3 linked regions of the Sus scrofa genome follow. The protein of the gene in region 1 interacts with the protein of each later gene in a pairwise test. Links are inferred from orthologs where the notes say so. Each region holds a gene or a part of one and is shown in the gene's direction. Other genes may lie near its edges.

Evidence for each region.
Region 2: the proteins of WAC (region 1) and DYDC1 interact in binary tests that used the Homo sapiens proteins (3 or more experiments, as listed by UniProt). The two-hybrid records come from large-scale screens. The link is inferred for Sus scrofa from reciprocal best matches to the Homo sapiens genes WAC and DYDC1.
Region 3: the proteins of WAC (region 1) and HTT interact in binary tests that used the Homo sapiens proteins (3 or more experiments, as listed by UniProt). The link is inferred for Sus scrofa from reciprocal best matches to the Homo sapiens genes WAC and HTT.

The regions. Positions count from the first base shown.
Region 1 is NC_010452.4:40,005,890-40,009,534, forward strand, and holds part of WAC (WW domain-containing adapter protein with coiled-coil), read left to right. Parts: intron 1-2,678; coding exon 2,679-2,924; intron 2,925-3,645.
Region 2 is NC_010456.5:82,194,304-82,198,650, reverse strand, and holds the start of DYDC1 (DPY30 domain-containing protein 1), read left to right. Parts: upstream 1-1,490; 5' UTR 1,491-1,645; intron 1,646-3,785; exon of another isoform or gene 3,786-4,319; intron 4,320-4,347. UniProt on the Homo sapiens protein: Functions as part of axonemal radial spoke complexes that play an important part in the motility of sperm and cilia. Plays a crucial role during acrosome biogenesis.
Region 3 is NC_010450.4:1,808,373-1,812,624, forward strand, and holds the start of HTT (huntingtin), read left to right. Parts: upstream 1-1,395; 5' UTR 1,396-1,539; coding exon 1,540-1,775; intron 1,776-4,252.

The DNA.
Region 1 (3,645 bases):
CAAAAAAAAAAAAAAAAAGACTGTATAATGTCATAATATTTATGATAATAGCATACTCTTCATTGTCTACTTCGACGGTTATTTTTAGAGACCTTAGGCTTTGCTCCCCTTTTTTTGAACCTATAATTTAAGGGAGAGAGCACACATATAAACACACACCTGGACCTTTCTGACAGATTCAGTCAGTGGATACATGCTGATGGCATTTTGTAACGGGGCCACAGAGATAAATAAAACAGAATTCCTCCCCTGAAGGAGTTCCTTTCTGATAGAAGGGAGGAGATGATAAACTATGTAATAGAAGACGCTGTGTTATAGAATCTGTGTTGGGTTGTTCTGAATGCAAAAGAGCAGCACCCATCCAGTAGTTTTCAAATTTTGTGTTTTAATGATAAAACTAAGACTACCTTTCAGGGTAGTATTTTATATTTGTATTATCAAACTCAATCACTTATTCTCAGTTATACTTACAGGTTGAAGCAAGTTGTATTAAAGATATTAAGATAGGAGTTCCTGTTGTGGTGCAGTTAATCCAACTAGGAACCATGAGGTTACGGGTTCGATCCTTGGCCTTGCTCAGTGGGTTAAGGATCTGGCATTGCTGTGGTGTGGGTCCCAGACACGGCTCGGATCCTGCGTTGCTGTGGCTCTGGCATAGGCCAGTGGCTACAGCTCCAATTAGACCCCTAGCCTGGGAACCTCCATATGCCATGGGAGCAGCTCAAGAAAAGGCAAAAAGACCAAAAAAAAAAAAAAAGAAAAAAAAAAAGGATATTAAGAAGTAATATGCTTTGGGAGAGCAAACGCAAATGTCTGGGTGTCTTTTAGGGAGAATGGGCTGGAGTCATTCTTTTAAAAATAGTGTAAAAAATGGAGTTCCTGTGATGGCTCAGTGGTTAACGAATCCGACTAGGAACCATGAGGATGCAGGTTCCATCCTGGCCTTGCTCAGTGGGTTAAGGATCTGGTGCTGCAGTGAGCTGTGGTGTAGGTTGCAGATGCGGCTGGAATCTGGTGTTGTTGTGGCTGTGGCGTAGGCTTGCAGCTGCAGCTCTGATTAGACTCCTAGCCTGGGAACCTCAACATGCCGTGGGGTGCGGCCCTCAAAGGAACTTAGGAAATTCTCTAATGTGTTTTCTCATAACCAGCATGGGGTGTCAGAGTCACCCATAGAACTCTTAGAAGTTCACCAGATGCTTGGACCACCCCCGAACCACCCCTGGTTCATTAGATCTGGGGTGGAGTTCTGGTATCTATTTTTTTTTCCAATTTTATAGTTAATTCTGATAAGTTCATACTCAAAGTCAAATCTTTTAAAAGAGAACCTCTTGCCTTTTGAGATTTTACTTGCTCAAGGCTCCCATAAGTATCGACTGGTTTTCATACTGTCCATTAATAATCTTCCTTTATAAAACTGCAAAGAAATCTATCCTCAGGAGAAATAAACATTTATTTACATAGTGGTTTATTTCTTTATGATATGTATTAGTTTTCTGTTTTGGGAGTCTTTTCCTTTTCTTGGATTGAAGGGTAATACTGAAAAAATTTCAAGCCTGGGTTAATTTTTCAAATCTGTAGATAGATTTAGCAGCACCAAAACGAACTTAAAAGACAACTTGCACCTTCTCCAACTCCTGTCTTTAAAGGGAGAAGGAAACCACAATACAAGTTAACAAAAGGGTTATTTCAGAGGGATATAAATACTAATTTAACTGTTCATGCAGGAAGTAAAAATAGAGAACCTGTTTCATTCTAAACATTAAGATGTATCTCAACCATTTATTTCGTAACCTAAACCTTAAGGTATATGATCTGGAAAAAACTGCTACTGTAGTCTCATAAAATGTAGTATCTGACAGCAGATTTTCACAAGGAAAGTTCAATTTTCTTTATACTTTATGAATTCAAAACAGCTGAACATGATAGGCAGTCAGCTAGACTTTTGTGGTCATAAACATTTTCACCTTAAGTTAGTTTATGGTACATAGAAATTGAATGTTAGTGAATTGTTCTTTCCTTTTATCCTGATGGAAGCTTATTCAAAAGTTAATACAGGCATATCTTGGAGGTATTATGGGTTCAGTTCCAGACTTCCACTATAAAGCAAGTATCACAAAATGAGTCAATTTTTTGGTTTCCCAGTGCATACGAAAGTTATGTTTACATTGTTGTCTGTTAAGTGTGCAACACCATTGTGTCTAAAAAGTGATGAGTATGCCTTAATTAGAGAAAATGCTGTTGGGAAAATGAGGCGGATAGACTCGCCCAATACAGGGTTGCAGAAGACCTTCAGTTTGTTGGGGTGAATAAAAAGCAGTAACTGCAAAGTGTAATAAAGGCAAAATACAGTAAAACAAGGTGTGCCTGTACAAGTTTTGAGACAGAATTGCTAGTGGAATATGGCACTTAGACATGCATGTGGTCGAATCACTGCTTTACCAGACTTTGCGATTTCAGGCAAGTTACATAATATTCTTTGTTGTTTTCTCATGTATGACATCAGGATATAAGATATTGCCTTAGGATTCTGGTCAGTCACCTGCTAAGTCTCCTCTGTGTGCTACCCTCTTGATATTAAATGACATGACTTGAGTCAGGCACCTGGCTTCTTGGACATTGGTTCCAGTTTTCTCTAGTCAAGTAATGTTTTTCAGCCTCAATATCTTCTTTTTATTTAGAATCTACATCGGGAGACAAATCTGTGTCACACGTTTGCACAACTCCTTCCACGTCTTCAGCATCTGGACTGAACCCCACATCTGCACCTCCAACGTCCGCTTCAGCCATCCCCGTTTCTCCTGTCCCACAGTCACCAATACCTCCGCTACTTCAGGACCCAAATCTTCTTAGACAGTTACTTCCTGCTTTGCAGGCCACACTGCAACTTAATAATTCTAATGTGGACATATCCAAAATAAATGAAGGTAATTTTCTTCTCTTTTTTGGGGGTGGGGGGTGGTGGATCTTTTTAGGGCCCAACCTGCAGCATATGAAAGTTCCCAAGCTAGGGGTTGAATCGGAGCTACAGCTGCCAGCCTATGCCACAGCAACCTACACTACAGTTCACAGCAACGCCGGATCCTTAACCCACTGAGTGAGGCCAGGGATTAAACCTGAAACCTCATGGTTCCTAGTCAGATTCATTTCTGCTGTGCCGCAGCAGGAACCCCCAGGTAAAGGTAATTTTCGTTGAAACAGTTTTTTAAAAATTCATTTGTATCATGCAAAACTCTGTAATTAGTAAAACTCCCAACTGAGGAATGGTCTTTGTTTCATTTTGAAGTTGACGGTTGAATGTCATGCTCTGAAATTTACATCCCCCACAGCCTAAGATCTTTGGTATTGTATCAGCAATACTTGGATTTTCTATTTTTCAAGACTTGTGTACCTGTCAGTTACTGGAGATAACTATTTTATCAGCTTACCGTGTGTGATGATTTTTTAGTTTTTTAAAGTATAAACAGAGAAAATAGTATTTGCTAAAATAGATATAAAAACACTTGGTTTCTGGCGTATTTCAAAACAACCTCCTGTATATCAGTAAATAATTATTTGGCATATTAAAAATATGCTGTTTACTAAGGGTAGTAATTCAGGTAGTTCTTAAAATACTTAAAATTTTTTGAGAAGGGAAGTAATGGATAG
Region 2 (4,347 bases), on another chromosome or scaffold:
GGTGTGTTTTACAGCCCACTCCCCACCAACTCTGGCCATGCTCACCAGTGAGACGGGGGCTATTTTTCTGAGTTTTCCAGAGCTCCTCTGAGGTCTGCTTGTACTGATCCTCCTTGCTCATGGCCTTGCATTCAGGTGGGGCGATATGTATAGAGATTGTCTTTGTTCACACTGTATTCCTAGTGTTGGGCTCACAGTAAGTGCTCAGCAAATATTTCTTGACTTAATCAGTCAGGACTTCGATGCTTGTGGGCCCAGGCAAGAGCTCACGCTTCCTCCCATCTGTTAGTGCCATGCTAACATCTATGACTCAACCAACATTTACTGAGGCACCTCCTGCCCAGTACTGCCCCACATAAATTAGAACATGAGAAATGCTAGCCTGTGCGCAAAGGACTAAACCAAGGAAGACTGCAAATGGTTGGGCTTGGTGGAGGATGGAAGGCTTTCTGGAGGTGGGGAGCACATCACAGTGAGAGGAATGCCAACTAAAGAACATTGCTAGCCAGCTGATTCTACAAGGATTGCTTAGCCACTACAGTTGTTAACTGAGTCATTAACACAACCTAAAAGGAGTTCAGGATGGATATCAGGACTGAAGCAATCTGTTCTCTGGAGAAAATGATAGAACAGGCCTTCAGATAGTTAGAAATTTTCAGGAAAAAATTTTATAAGCCCAGTTTCTTGCATCTTCCCATACTTAGGAAAGCACTGAAATCATTAAGTCATCTGTGCCTGGTGACTAGAATAACCTTTCACCTAGATATGTGTTTGACTGCAGGTACCCCTTCTCCAAAATCACACATATGCTGACCACCCCTCTACTTCTTCCATGCAGGAGCAGTTCCTTAGAGCTGTCACAGCGGCCATCTCCAGGGCTAAAGTCCTCAGTTTAGTCCCCAAATAAAACAACTCACAACTCTCAGATGTGCAATTTTTTTTCAGTGGACAGGAACCAAACAGAGGTCACCAGCAAGTGCAAAGGTGCTAAGCGGGGAAAATACCAGGCTATAGGTAGCTATAACTTCCTCTGCTCTAAAGCCGTTAGCCCCGAGGCTCCTCTCCCGCAGGCCAGCCCTCTCCCTTTTCTCTCTCCCTGTGTGCGCAAGCCTGCCAGCTCCGCCCGATTCCCCCTTTTGGCTGTCCTCTTCTCACAGCCTCTGGGTTGTACGTCTCTGCTCACCTACCCTGGTGCTCCCTTCCCTCCATCGGTAATCTCGCACACCTAGCGCGCCCCCTCCTCTCAATAGCGCATCCTACCCCGCCCCTCTCTGCTCCTCTCCTATGGCCTCTCCTCTCCTCTCTGCGGCCTCCTCCCCGCCCTACTGCCGCTCACCGCCCGACACGCTTCCTCTCTGCTGCAAATTCTCCGCTCCTCGCCCAGCGCTCTCTGCGGCGCGCCCCTTCCTCTCAGCACGAGGCAGTCTCCTGCTCCTGGGGCTCGCGCTCGTTGCCTAGCGACAGGACGCTACTAGAGGGTAGGTAGGCGCCTGCGTCCCGCGCCGGCTTAGAGGACGCAGGCGCAGTTGTGGAAGTACTGCTTCAGGTGCTGGGCTGAATCCTGCGAACCAAGGCAGTTTTTGCAGTTGGACCTTGTGAGCGCTGCGGTGGCAGTAGACGCCCATGCTCCCCGAGCTTCGGGAAGGTTAGTTCAGCGCCGGCCTCCTCCTCCTCCTCGGTGGTGAGCGGCGCTATGCCTTTTGGAGGGATACGGAAGGCGGGCACCCTGCCGGGGACCTGGGATAGAAAAGCAACCGAAGCGCTCGGAATCCAGGGTTGCCAGATAAAATTCGGGGTACGCATTTAAATTTGATTTCAGAGAAATAAGGAATAGCTTTTTAGCACAATATAGGATAATGCAAAATCATTCCTTATTTATCTGAAATTTAACTGGACATCCTGTATTTTTGTTTGCAAAAAAAGCAACCCTACCACTGGCCACCTTTCTCCCAAGCAGGAGCGAAGAACCTCTTTCTGTTTCTTGTGACAGCTTATGCAGGCTTGAGGCAGCTCTTTCTGTGGGAAGATGCTTTCTTCTCTTGAGCCAGGATGGCTGTTGGTGTGTATAAAAAATAGCATTACTTATAACAGGCTTTTCAGATGGGTATGTCGCTAATTCAGGAACAAGAAATAAGCCAAACGAGGTAACGAGTTCCACCTGGGTTCCGCTGATAATGCGATGCAGGCTGCCTAGATGTGAGACTAACCCTTTACTGGAGGTTTCTCCTTAGGAACCACGGGCCCATTCCCATGTGTTATCTTTCAGGAGCAGCGGCAGGAATCGGCTCCCTTTTTAATTGTTATTCCATTCCAAATGATATTAAGCTGTCAATGTAGTTATTTTTGTCTTTGAAGAAGTGCAGTGAAGATACTGTGTTCCATACTCAGCTGTAATAAGACATCAATACTAGCTTGATAGGGAATTAGGTTCGTTTGTGCCAGTTTTTAATTTGTTTTTATGACTGTATATATGTATTAGCGTTCCTTTCTCCACTGTTGTTGCTAATATAAAGGCGGCATATAAACTGCAATTTATGCATCTTGCTTTTTTTCACTTCACACTTTGTCCTAGGGATCACTCCTAATTTGGGGGATCTTCCTCTTTCTCTTTTTTTTCTGCGCAAAAATCCATTGTGTTGCTGTATCTCATCAGTCCTTTATTGAGGAACATTTGGATGGAGGTCGAAACTTGGCTATTCTTAGTAATGGTGCAGACTAACCGGTGGATATATTCATATTTTTGTAAGATAAGATCCCAGAAGTGAGACTGATGAGTCAAAATGTAAAGTCATATGTAATTTTCTACACATTTCCAAATTCTACTCCATGGGATTATGCCATTTTGTACTCTGCCACCACATTATGAGACAGAGCACTATTGGAGTATATGGATGAAACTCAGAAGGTCATTGTTTCTGAGGTTTTGTGCAGAATGTTAGGTACATTTATTCCAGAACAGGTCAAGACACACTGGCATTCTGTCTTCTATAATTGCTCATGCCTGACATGTAATAAGTTCTCTTTCTCCCTCTCTCTCTCTCTCTAGGGCTGCTCCCATGGCATATGGAGGTTCCCAGGCTAGGGGTTGAATTGTAGCTTTTGCTGCTGGCCTATGCCGCAGCAATGCGGGATCCGAGTCGAGTCTGCAACCTACACCAAGCTCATGGCAACACCGGATCCTTAGCCCACTGAGTAAGGCCAGGGATTGAACCCACAACTTCATGGTTCCTAGTTGGATTCATTAACCACTGTGCCACGATGAGAACTCCTATATATATTCTTTTTTGTTATAGTTGATTTACAATGTTCTGTCAGTTTCTGCTGTATCAATATATATTTTTTGAATAATGAATACATTTCATCAGATTCTCAGAGGAGTCTGGATTCATTAATGGTAATTTGCAAGGTGATCAGTTTCTTCAAAGCACCTGAGATAGAGTGGTTACTGCATTTCTGTCTTCCTTCCCCCTCTTTCTTCTTCTTCTTTTTTTTGTCTTTTTGCCATTTCTTGGGCTGCTCCCACGGCGTGTGGAGGTTCCCAACCTAGGGATCTAATCAGAGCTGTAGCTGCCGGCTTATGCCAGAGCCATAGCAACTCGGGATCCGAGGTGCATCTGCAACCTACATCACAGCTCACGTCAACGCTGAATCCTTAACCCACTGAGCAAGGCCAGGGAGCGAACCCGCAACCTCATGGTTCCTAGTCGGATTCATTAACCACTGAGCCATGACCGCAACTCCTCTTCTTTTCTTTCTTTCTCCTTCTTTCTCTCCCCTCTTTCTTTCCTTCTCTCCTCTCTTTTTCTTTCTCTCTCTCCTTCCTTCCTTTCTTTCTTTCCTTCTTTCTTTCATCTCTCTGATCTAAGATCGTTCCTGTCCATATTCATAACTGAATAGACTGGGACATTACTGGGAGAGTGGAGAAACTCATTCACTTGCTGCCGTGGAGAGCCAGCCCTGTTGGTGCTGTGATTAAAACACACTCCTAGAGGAGCTAGAGGAGCTTATCCTTTAGTGGGGGGACAGACATGTCCATGCACAGATAATGCTCAGGCAGTATGATAAGGGTCATGTGAGCTGTTGGGGGAAGGACGGCTGTCTTTGTGTTGCCTGGAGATGGTGGTAGCAGCCACAGCAAGGGGGAATGACAGATGATTGATGCCTTGCAGGTGAGGAGATAGTCTCCAAACTGAGAGTGAGGGGTCATCACGGGCACATATGATGGAGATGGAATTGCACAAGGTGTGAGCAGCAGAATGACAGGATGTTCTGTATGGTTAGAGCCCAGAGTATGTTGGAAGCAGAAAAGATTTCTGGAGGTGAGCTTGGAAAGAAAAGTGGAGCCAG
Region 3 (4,252 bases), on another chromosome or scaffold:
GATCACACATCACGATGCCACCCAGACCTTCTGCATAGAGGTCACCAAAGATACAAAGCCCAGGTAAACAGGTACCAGGAGAGCAGTGAGTCATTACGATCCCTGGAGAGCTGGGAGAGAATGCCAGTGTGACAGTCGAGCGGGCGTGCCCATCTTCAGCCCCGGGGTAAGGCAGACACACCCTCCACGTGAGGGGGCGATGGAGGAGGCCAAATGACAGAGAACTTTATGTTTCCATTTTTGGGCCCCACCCTAAAATATAAATTTTACTTAATCGCAAGCGAACCACCAGTGACAGCCCACACTCAAGGGAGGGGGCTCTTTCTTCAAGGCAGTGAGCAGCAGGAGGGGGTCACTGGGCCATCTGAGAAGTCTGCCAATCACAGTACCTGACAGCCTGGAGTTCAGCCACTGTGGCCTGTGCTGCATGAAGGCTGGCATGCAGCCTCGCCAGTGAACAAGGGCCTTTATTAACACCAGGGAACAGGGACCTCAAGGCTGGCAGCACGTTTCTCTGAGATCCTTCCCTTGAAGGGAGGCCCCCATTGCTGTCCCCTTGGGGACAACGCTTCCTGTGGGGATGCTGGGTTTCTGTTCACCTGACTGCTTTGGGACAACAGGCTCTGAAATCAGGTGAAGACTTCTGGAGGCTTCCTACTGCTTGCCCCAGAGGGCTTTCCTGAGGCCGTGTGCTCCGTGCTGCCCCTGGCTTGCCCACTGTCTCCCCTCCAGGTGATGAGGCTCTGGAGCCCTAGACCGGACCTTTGCACACCGGTCGGCCTCCGCCCTGGGAGTGGACAGCCGTGGGCTGGGCAGTCTCCTGTGGGGGCATCTCCGGGGTCAAAGCGGCTTCTCGCTGCACCAGCCACAGCCTCTCTGGGGAGCAGGGCCTTGACCAGGCAGGTTTTTTTTACCCCGAAGCCTTCAGCTCCCCCTTGGGCTACTGACTCTCCTTCCAGGGCCCAGCTCCTCTCCGAGGGGTCACACCTGGCCTCCCGCCCGGAGGGTCTTCTAGCTCCACTTCCCCCTTCCTCCTCTGCAGGGCTGTCCCAAGGACCTTCCCTCCTCCACGGCCGCTGGATGGGCAAGCGGCCCCGCGGGGGTCCCCGCTCCACACCCAGGGCTGACCCTCCCGGCCATCCCCCAGAATCCTTCCCGCGGGCGGGGCTCCCTCCCGGGGGCGGGGCTCCTTCCCGGACGTGCCGTGACGCTCACGCCCTCCCCGTCGCGCCCCGCCCCCTCTCCCAGGGGCTCTAGGAAGCCAGGCGGTGGGCACGGGGGGCGGGCCGGAGCCTCGTCCGGTCATTGGCGGAGGCCGCCGTCTTTGGTTGTCAATCCCGCCGGTCCGGCCCCGCCCCGCCGGCGGAGCGTCGGGGGACGCAGGGCCGCGGGGGCTGCCGGGACGGACCCAAGATGGCCGGGCGCCTCGGTTCCGCTCCCGCCTGCGGCCCCGAGTCCCATTCATTGCCGCGCTGCTGAGCGGAGCCCCGAGGCGGCCCGAGGGCTTCGGGGGCTGTCCCCGCGGGGCGAGAGGCCGCCATGGCGACCCTGGAAAAGCTGATGAAAGCTTTCGAGTCTCTCAAGTCCTTCCAGCAGCAGCAGCAGCAGCAGCAGCAGCAGCAGCAGCAGCAGCAGCAACAGCAGCCGCCGCCACCGCCGCCTCAGCCTCCTCAGCCGCCACCGCAGACGCAGCCGCCGCCTCAGCCGCCGCCGCCCCCGCCCCCGCCGCCGCCGCCGCCCGGCCCGGCAGTGGCCGAGGAGCCGCTGCACCGACCGTGAGTGCGGGCCCCCTGCAGACCCCGGCCCGCGGCGACGGGGCGACCCCGAGCCCCTCCCCGGCCCTGCGTGGGTCTCGGCCCCCCGCAGGGCGCGGAGCCTCGCCGGCCCCCCCCGGAGGCACCGGGGCGTCCCGGCCGCGAGGTTAGGGACGGAGCCGGGGCCGTGTTGGGAGCAGCGCTTGGCGGAGCGAGGCCGGCTCCGGTCCCTGCCCCGCCGGCCGCGAGGAGCGGGACCCGAGCCGGAGCGCCGCGGGGGAGCGGTGACGTCATGCCTCGGGGCGGGGGCGGCGGCGCGCGCGGCCCAATGGCGAGTCCTTTCCGAGGCCCTGGAGCAGCCTGTTCCCGCTGCCGCCGGGCATCCCCCCGAGTGCGGGGTCGCGGGCGGAGCCGCAGCGCGTTCGGCGTCGGCCAGAGCCGAGCTTGTCTGCGCTCCCGTTGGTCTGCAGGCTCTTGAGCGGGTTGTGGTGGCCAAGTTCGTGGTGCGCTGTTTAGGTGGTGATGAGTCACGAGGGAGAAACTAAAATTTGCCTGGAGTATTGGGTCGAGTTGACTGTGTGCAGTGCCTGTGTGCAGTGGGAACGAGAAGGACGTGTTGCTGAGGGAGAGGTTCACTGCCGGGGGCGAATGCGGTGCGGGAACGTGGCTGTCCGGGGACCCCGCAGGCGTCGCCTGTCGCTGACATCCGGTGCTGTTGGGAAGTAGGGGTCTCTTGCTTGTGCCAGGGAGAATTTTTGAGACAGAAAAAGAACATTTCAGGAGCTCCCGTCGTGGCGCAGTGGTTAACGAACCCGACTAGGAACCATGAGGTTGCGGGTTCGGTGCCTGCCCTTGCTCAGTGGGTTAACGATCCAGCGTTGCCGTGAGCTGTGGTGTAGGTTGCAGACGCGGTTCGGATCCCGCGTTGCTGTGGCTCTGGTGTAGGCCGGTGGCTACAGCTCCGATTGAACCCCTAGCCTGGGAACCTCCATATGCTGCGGGAGCGGCCAGAGAAATAGCAAAAAAAACCCCAAAACGAACATTTCATTTCATAGAGCACCTTCTGAGAGCACCCAAGCCCTTCCCCTGGAGTCCCGTGTGCCCAGTGGTTCAGCCGAGGCCGGGGCGTGCTCCGCGGCAGGCCAGCCTTTCACCTCGGGCCACTTCGTGTCTGAGCCGAAGGTGGACGGAAGGCATTTCATGAGGACGGCTTTCAAGAAGCAGCCCCTTTAAGGCGCTCACTCTGTTAAGGCTGATGCACTCTTAGCAATGTTTTCTTCTTTTCTTCTTTATGTTTCTGATAGGATCCTTGCTGTGTCAGAGATTTCGTTAGAAAATGAGAGTCGAGGAGTGATTTTGGCTTATCTGTTAGAATAAAATTTAGAAATAATTTTTTTCTTCTAGAAAAGGTCTTTTGAATACTCAGAGGGGAAAAAAATATTTTTTAACAGTTTGCTTTACCTCTGCAGCAAGTAATTTATAACCATAACCCATCGCAGACTTTCATGGTAGTGCATCTCCTGCAGGTGGATGTCATGAAGTTAACACGTGGTTGGGACCTTGTATAAACAGGGGAAGCACTAGTGGGGCTCTGTGTAGGGAGGAGGTTCTACTGCTGTCCCTGTCTGCTCGTGCAATCACTTGGTCAGCCTAAAAATATGCCTTCTGCTTCTTATGCTGATTTGACAGAACCTGAATTTGCTTATCTTCTTCAAAATACGGGTGTAAAGAGGTTTCCTTTTTTAAATTTTTAAAATAAAAAATTGTTTTAAAATTTATAATTATTATTATTTGTCTTTTTGTCTTTTCTAGGGCCGCTCCTGCAGCATATGGAGGTTCTCAGGCTAGGGGTCTAATCAGAGCTGTTGCCGCCGACCTACAACCACAGCCACAGCAACACCAGATCCTTAACCCACTGAATGAGGCCAGGGATCGAACCCGAAACCTCATGGTTCCTCATTGAATTCATTAACCACTGAGCCACGACAGGAATGCCTAAATTTTAAAAATTTTTTATTTATTTTGCTTTTTGGGGCTGCACCTGCAGCACATGGAAGTTCCCACGCTAGGGGTCCAATCAGAGCTACAGCTGGGAGCCTAAACCACAGCAATGCAGGATCCGAGCCACCTCTGGGAACTATACCACAGCTCATGGCAACTCTAGATCCTTAACCCACTGAGCAAGGCCCGCAACCTTATGGTTCCTAGTCGGATTCATTTCCGATGCGCCACCACAGCAACTTTCTGCTGCTGCGCCACGATGGGAACTTCCTTCTTAAGCTAGCTTGATGAAGTAGATTTTGTTTCACTGTTTTATTGTAAGGAAATGTATGATTGACTTATTTTAAACGGAACCTGATTTTTTTTTGCATGAATAACACAGTCACTTGATACAAATTCCAAAATTGCAAAAAGTAAGTAAAGTAGCTCCCATTCTTTTCTCCCAGGTACCTAACTCCATTCCCAGAGGCAAGCGCTGTTACCCTTTCCCCTGGTGT